2 linked regions of the Caenorhabditis elegans genome follow. The protein of the gene in region 1 purifies or fractionates together with the protein of each later gene. This does not show direct contact. Each region holds a gene or a part of one and is shown on either strand. Other genes may lie near its edges.

Evidence for each region. The genes of interacting proteins can lie anywhere in the genome.
Region 2: the proteins of adk-1 (region 1) and srh-56 fractionate together in Caenorhabditis elegans (co-fractionation; one large-scale study listed by BioGRID). This does not show direct contact.

The regions. Positions count from the first base shown.
Region 1 is NC_003282.8:11,208,809-11,212,629, forward strand, and holds adk-1 (Adenosine kinase), read right to left. Parts: upstream 2,024-3,821; 5' UTR 1,997-2,023; coding exon 1,922-1,996; intron 1,849-1,921; coding exon 1,532-1,848; intron 1,471-1,531; coding exon 1,365-1,470; intron 1,305-1,364; coding exon 978-1,304; intron 926-977; coding exon 722-925; 3' UTR 501-721; downstream 1-500. Other genes in the region: R07H5.9 (Kinesin motor domain-containing protein), read left to right, coding at 33-100, 145-334.
Region 2 is NC_003283.11:2,770,233-2,774,051, reverse strand, and holds srh-56 (Serpentine Receptor, class H), read right to left. Parts: upstream 2,193-3,819; coding exon 1,847-2,192; intron 1,786-1,846; coding exon 1,595-1,785; intron 1,272-1,594; coding exon 1,041-1,271; intron 863-1,040; coding exon 784-862; intron 721-783; coding exon 533-720; downstream 1-532.

The DNA of each region.
Region 1 (3,821 bases):
AGATAGAACAAAGAATCATATTTAAATTTCAGGATGAAAACGGATGTGTAAATGTCAAAGTAGTTGTCATCGAGAGACCAATCATCCGAGATAAACTCAGGTTTGATTCGTTTTCAGAATGAGCAATTGATAAGTAAGTTCCAGACCGATTGCTTTCATTGACAGTGTATTGTCTGCTCATGTGAAGAGCATTCTAATCAATGTCCTTCATGAGAACTACGAAGGTCTACCAGCGGAACAACTGATCAAATCAACTAATGTTCTTTTTGCTTTCCTTGATAAGAACGGCGTACAGAAACTTCGACGTGTTCGGAAAAGTGACGTTGATCACTAACAGTTTTACAATTTACCAAAACTGTAAGTAATCATATTCCTCTAGTCCTGATAAATATGCAACAAACTTTATTTCAGCCGTGGCAGTGTCGTTCTGGTTCTGGATCTGATTGGCTTTGTCGAAAAGGGGAAGAAGATTCCAATTCAAATCGACATGGATGAAGAATAAAACTTTGCCATTTTATTAAAACACCTGATAAATGAATTATAAGGCACATTTTGGGAACATTTGACAAAAAAAACAACACCAAAAGAAAAATTTCGAATAATAGGGATGCTCGAGGACGGGGAATGGGGAGCAAAACAAAGAACAATTTGATATACTATAAACCAGGGGACTGGGAAATTGAAAGCAGAGAAAGTTGGGATCACAGATTATTTTATCAGTTTAATGGTACTTGCAAACAGATGGCACTGTGCATCCGTGCTTCTTGATGATTTCTTGAGCAGCATAAGATCCACAGGTGACTGAAGCTTCGACTCCCTTTCCTTGGATGAATTGAGAAAGGAAACCTCCGACAAAAGCGTCTCCGGCACCGTTGGTATCGACGATTTCTTCCTTTGGAAGACGAGTTACTGGGAATTCGGTGACCTGTAGATTAAAATTGAAAACAATAAATTCAAAAATTATCAAAAACTCTCACCTTATCTCCTTCCACGACGATGACTGGCTCTGGTCCTTGAGTGAAAACAACGAGTCTTGGCTTAGTAGATTTCTTTGGAAGTGCAGCAGCCTTCAAAGCGATCTCCTTGACACAGGTGGTCTCCCATCCATTGGCTTTAGCAAAGGCAGCAGCTTCGTCTTCGTTTCCGAAAAGAACATCGACCAATGGAATGATTTCCGAGAGCTTATCGAAGAAAAATTGGGAGATGAACGGGGCGGAGAGGTTAAGGGTGAAAGTCTTGTTGAATTCGGCAGAGTGGCTTGCGAGTTGGAGAATAGCTGGTGGGCAGACAGTGATGAAGAATCCCTGAAAATTTTACATTGAGAATACTTTTGTGCTTATTTGTAAATCAATTCGATAACTTACAGTGACATAGAAATATTTGGCCTGCTCGATGATCTTCTGATTCTCCTCCTTCTGGAGATGATCTTGAGTGAAGGTGTTAGCAGCAGCCAAATGAGCACAGAGTGATCTGAAATCATTTCAACACGGCAACGATGATTTTTCTGTCCGTCAAACAATGATCCGCTTACCTATGAGTTCCGTTGATGAGGGCTGCGCAGGTACCGGTCTTAACTGTCTCGTTGATCTGATAATGCACATTCACTCCAGCTTCTTTGGCTTTCGATGCCAAAAGATCTCCGTACTGATCTTTACCAACAGCTCCAAAGAAAACTGTTCGGTTTGGTGCGTTCAAAATCCATTGAGCAACACGGAGCGAATTCTGTGCGGCTCCTCCTGGAATGTACTCGACTTTGAAATCTCTGGTAAGCTCGGTGAACATGTCATTGTGCTTGTCGTCGCAAAGAATGGCGTCGTTTTCTTTGAGTCCCCATTTGTCAAGGAATGCCTGTAGATTTCAGCAATTAAAATGAAATATTTTTGAATGTGCTTCTAGATTTCTAGAGAAATCAAAAACTTACCTTTTCAACGGTGGTTTGAATGTCCAACAATGGATTGCACATTCCGATGAGGGTGTTTTCTGGCAGAGGAGACATTTCCGTGACGTGAGGAGATGGGATTACCTGCAGATAGACAATTAGAAAATGAAAAGTGAGAAAAAGGCGAGTTTTGAACGAGTAAATAGACATAAGAGAAAACAAATAAGAAGATTGGCAAAGAAAGAGTGCGAAAAAACCGTTTTCGTGCTTTTTTGAACACGAATAACGCTGTAAAGCCAAGATATTTTGTGTTTTAGGACAATACATTTCCACGAAATCCACGTTGTAATTTGAAATTCCGGCCGAAAGACATTTTTGATAAACAACGATCGCATGGGATATCGGAGTGTCGTTGCAACGTGTTTTAAGATTTTATCGATCATAAATCTTTGCTGACAGAAGCGGAAAGTTTTTAAAACACCGTTGCTATCTTAAAAAACATGAACGTTTAAAAAAACCAAGAATAAAATTTGCAAGTTTCTAAATGTGGAAGTACCTCCTTCAAACACAAATTAGTGAATGCTATTTTGAATAATATTTTGAATAATATATTAATAATGGCTGATTGTTTGATGAATACTGTGTATTTCTTTTCCAATTCTACGATTTTAAAGTGGGAAGCAGTTATGCGGAATGGTCTCGCCAAGAGCCGTCTATTGATATATTTTTCTCAATCAATGGCTGGCGCGTGGCGAGACCAATCCGCATAAATGCTCCTCCCTTTAAAATCGTAGAACTTGAAAAATTCATAGTAAAAATACGATTTTCGAAAGTGGGAGCGATGAGTTTCCAGAAAAGTGAACGATCAGGCGTGGAAATTCAAATGTAATAAGATAACTTATTAGAACTTGGACAAAAATGAGAATGAGTTACACACAAAGTACACGATTCTGATGAGAAATGCGCCTTCCAACTAGCCTATCTTCTATTTTATCGTCCATTACTCCCCAGTCTGTCTGCAGTTTCTAAAAGATCTCCGCTATTTCGTTATCGGTTTTTTGACCGGCAAATTGTGACACTGATAGTATCTACCGATATGCCATCTAGCCTCAGAACAAGAAAAGTTGGCTAACTTGCGGTGGTGGTTTGAACGAGACAATTTACAAGTTATGTTCAATTTAGAAAACAATTTTAGTTGTCAATGGCTTTTAAACCTAGCAATTACATTAAAGTCTATTGCAAACAGTTTAAAATTGAAACTAAGCCTGAATAAACAGACACAGTGCGTAATGCAATTTTCATGTGGAAGTTGCAAAAAAGATAGAAAAAAGAGAAGAAACTACAACGGCAACTGTTATGAAAAAACCGATTGATTTCCATTGTGTTCTATGAACAGAAGGTGTCTCCTGCACATAAGTTCTCAAAATGAGAAAAATTTTCGAAAATGGCCTGATTGAAAGTTGATAGTCGATCAATTAATGATCTATTGGGGTTTCTATGTGGAGTAATATAGAAGTTGTACTCATATTTATTGGCAGTAGTTAAACAATTACCTATATACTCCGAAAAGTAAAAACTACAAAGTTTTTTTCGTACCCACGTTGTGAGTTGATACTCAGCTAATAGGTGAATTTTCATATTCTCCTTCACTGCACTATTCACTATATATATAATAGATAGCCGTTATAGAGCATTATTTTCTATGAAAATTAAACATTTAAATCTTTTTACTTATTGTAAATAAATACTTTTAAAACCTACGTTTTGAAGAACTTGCATATTTCAATTAAATGAAAAAACGTGTTACAGATTTAATATTGCCACTGGAGATTTAGTCTCAATAAACTCCAAGTAGTCTAACATGGCCGCACATTAGTAAATTGCCAAAATTGGCCAAAAATGCGTATTTTTGAGTTATTTCAAGCATATTTGTAGGTCCAAA
Region 2 (3,819 bases), on another chromosome or scaffold:
GAAAATTTTTTTTTTCGATTTTTGACAATTTTTCGAAATTGTTGAAATTACTGAAATCGGCAATGTTACCTGAATTGCCATAATTTTCAAAAATGCCGAAAATTTTCAAAAATCTTAAATTGCCAAGACTGCCCAAAATGTTAAAAAACTTCCGAAATTGCCAAAATTCATGATACTGCTGAAATTGGTGAAAGTTCTAAGTTTGTCCAAATTGCCCAAATATTTTAAAACTGCCAAAAAGTTTGAATTTGCGAACATTGAAAAAAATTGTCAGAAATCCTAGAGTTATCGAAATTACCAAAATTGACAACTTTGCCGATATGGATAAATTGTCAAAATTGCTGAAATTCGTGAAATTGCCAAAATTTTTCAAAATTGATGAATATGCCAAAATTGCCAAAATGGCTCTCACTAGCAAGATGCGCATCTGTTTCCCGAGTGAAAATAGTCAAGTTTTGTCCAAAAAAAACATATTTACTAAATATTTGTAAAAAAATCTTGCTTGGCAAATAAAACGAAAATTTAAAAAAAACTAATTAGACACACTTCCATGTGGAGACGTCACAGGTTCCACGATGATAGTCATTCTCCGTTGTGAAAATCGTTGTCCAGGGATCAGACTTTTAGTGAAATCTCTGTATGGTTTGTAAATAAAAAGGGTGCAACAGGTGCATAGAAGTCCGTGATTTGCCATAATTAGCATAGCGTTGTTGTTGTAGGCTGCAAAAGTTTGGAACGTGTTAGCCATGTTTTGGCTTTTTTAAATAATTTGCACTTTCTCACCTTGATTATAGTAATTCATTTTGTCTGCATACATAGTGTAGGCCACAGGAAATGCAATGGCAATCCATGGAATTGAGATCTAAAAAAACACATGCTAGAATTAAATGTTTAAAATTTTAAAAATTTTGTGGTTTTTCAATTTGTCAAAAACATTTTTAAATTTTTAAAATTGAAACAAACCCATTTAAATTTTTTTTGCATTTTTTTGCAGTTTCATTTGGCTATTCCAGTTAATTTTCAGTTATAGTTATACTCACCTGAATAGAAACATTCTTCAGAAACTTTCGCTGAAGATTCTTCGTCGCCGCCGATATTTTGGCACTTGATACTAGTGTGAGGTGATAAACGGTGTGTAACAAAAAGAAAAAAGTTTGGAAAATAACAAATCCAAAACCAATTGTGATTGACCAGAATGGCAAGACCTCTCCGCCCTGCAGCAGTACATAGGTTTTTGGGTCCCAGAATTCGCTCGTCGGACAGGGGATTCTCTGTAAAATTAAGTTGAATTTGAAGACGGGTGTTAAATACACACGACCGAAAAATATAATAAACACTTCAAAAGTTTTTAGTTATTCAAAAATTGACATTTTTGAAAAAAATTGAAAATTCCCGCAGATCTGAACTCCTAGAATGTTTCAATATTATTAATAAGAACGCAATTAATTCAAAAAAAATCTTTTGGTCGACTTCCAAAATTAGGATATGTGAAAACTGAGAGTTTTCACATTTTTGACTTTAAATATAAAATTTTATAAAATTTTTTGAACATTTCTAATATCTCTGAATGGGCATTTTAGTACATTTTACTAACCTCCAAGACCTTCTGTCTCATTTTCAATTGGTCAGTGTCGTCTAGATAAAATGGAAGCATAACAACAAATGTGAATAAATAGTTTAATGCGAAATATGTTAAACGAGTTTTTCTCCGTTTGATTTTGAATCGAATCGTGGAAATTTGACTATGTTGATTTTCATAGAGCATTATAAAACAGACACCCATCACTGAAAAACATGTGGTATTTGAAATTTATATTTAAATTTCCTAAAAGATCCTAAAACTTACTAGTGACGGAAACCTGTCCCCAATACGACTGCCACTTGACACCTACTCCCAAATATCCTAGAAGCCCAAGGGGTACTCCGGAGGCACTCGGAAAAAATATATACGGCCCCGAGTACACTGTGAACATCAAATCGAGATTTGTGCTCCAAGCCAGGGATATTAAAAGTGGGATTTTCATATTTTTCATCCGCTTTGGCGTCTTTGTTATAACTGTGTAAAATGTGAATATGGATAGAGGAACTGTTAAAAGTGCTGTGAAATGATATGCATTGCGCAGATAGTCTGCCGAGCCAAAATAGGAGTAGGTTTCCCGGCAGTTTGAGGTGTTGTTGTCTGGCCATGCCATTGGTTTCCTGGAAGATGTTTAATATAATAGGTTTCGATAGGAATTCCGAAAGTGTTCACAAGCTAAGCGTTACAAGAAAAATTCCTTAAAAAGCCAGAAAACCAGAGCCTAAAAGTTCAAAGCCCCATTTGCATGTAAAATGATCCGCGCGGTAGAGTTGGACGCGCCGAAAAATTCTTGATCGTTGATGTAATACCACCGTAATCCTGCTAATTTGATAATTTGAGGTGCGGAGTTTTCAATTTTTTTTTCTCGGAAATTTATTTTTCTAGGAGGCTCTGACTTGGAGTTTCGATGTAATGCTAAATGCTGTGTTAGTGATTAGGGACATTTAAAAAGGGAAATGTGTTTTGTGACAGATCAAATGATCATCTAGGTTGGCGATGCAAAACAATACGGCAAAAAAGTGTAAAAAACTGATGTCTTGCAGCGGACATTTCCCGGGTTAATTGGAAAGTAAATGGGACCCCACATCTTTCCTGATTTTTTGTCCGGAATAGAGGCTTTACCAGAAAAATCTTTACAATTAGTTCTTCAATTTTTACAGAAACCTTTTTATTTCAACATTTCAGAATCCTAGGTTCAACAGCTGGAAATTTATCAATTGGACAAAAACTTGGTTTTAATTCTATTCAAACAAGGGCCTATTCAAAAAAATTGAGCTTCTTATCCACCTAAAAGTAACGTTTGATCCAAATTATCGGGCTAAGAAAGGACTAAGAGTAGTCGGTGCTGAAGATGAAGTCAAAATTGAAAATCAAAGGTTTGGGGTACATGTCAAAAAAAACAATTGTAGGAATTGCTAGAAGAAACTCAGCGGATTCAGTTCGAATAGTTGTTTGAAAAAAGTAGATCCTCATAATTTGTTCGACTTCTAATTTGACCAGAAATCTACTACACCGCAGTAGAAATCAGGTATCCTGCTGTGTTTTGTCTGTGGCTTCTTAGCTGCCGAAGCGAGAAAAATGCAAACAAACTTCGAAAATGTCATAAATTTATGCTATTTTTGCAAACTTAGTGACGACCTAACAAATCTAGAAAAATTGAACTTTCTACCAAATCTAAGTAGATTTTTTTGGAAACCAATAGATTTAGTTATATTCCAAAAAACTACATACTTATGAAACTCAGAAGTAAAAGCTTTCAAAATGTGACTGAACTCGCCAAAAAGTTCAATAAAATGAGCCGCGCGGTAGTTGTTTCACGCCGATAAACATTTGATCGTTGATGTAATACATTTCCACAAACCTGCTAATTTGATCAATCGGGGTACACAAGTTTCCCAATTTCCTTATTTCTCAGAAATCGTTTCTCCAGAAGGTCGTGTTCAAGTACTTTTCTGACTTGAATTTTTGATTTATGGTTAATTGTAAATGTTTCGTGACCAGGAATCTTTCAGAGAAAAACTTCTTCTTCATCAAATTACATAATTAAATGTTATTTGAATATTTAAACAATCTGATACTTATTTTAAAAGTATGGTAAATTTTTGTAAAGTTTTTGAAAACCTCAGGGGTCCTGAAGCTGTTGTGTGGTCGATTTTTCAATTTTTGAGGTATCAGAATTTAATTATAGGTACGAAGTTTTTTTTTAAGAAAACCACTGTCTGGATAAAAAATTATTTTTC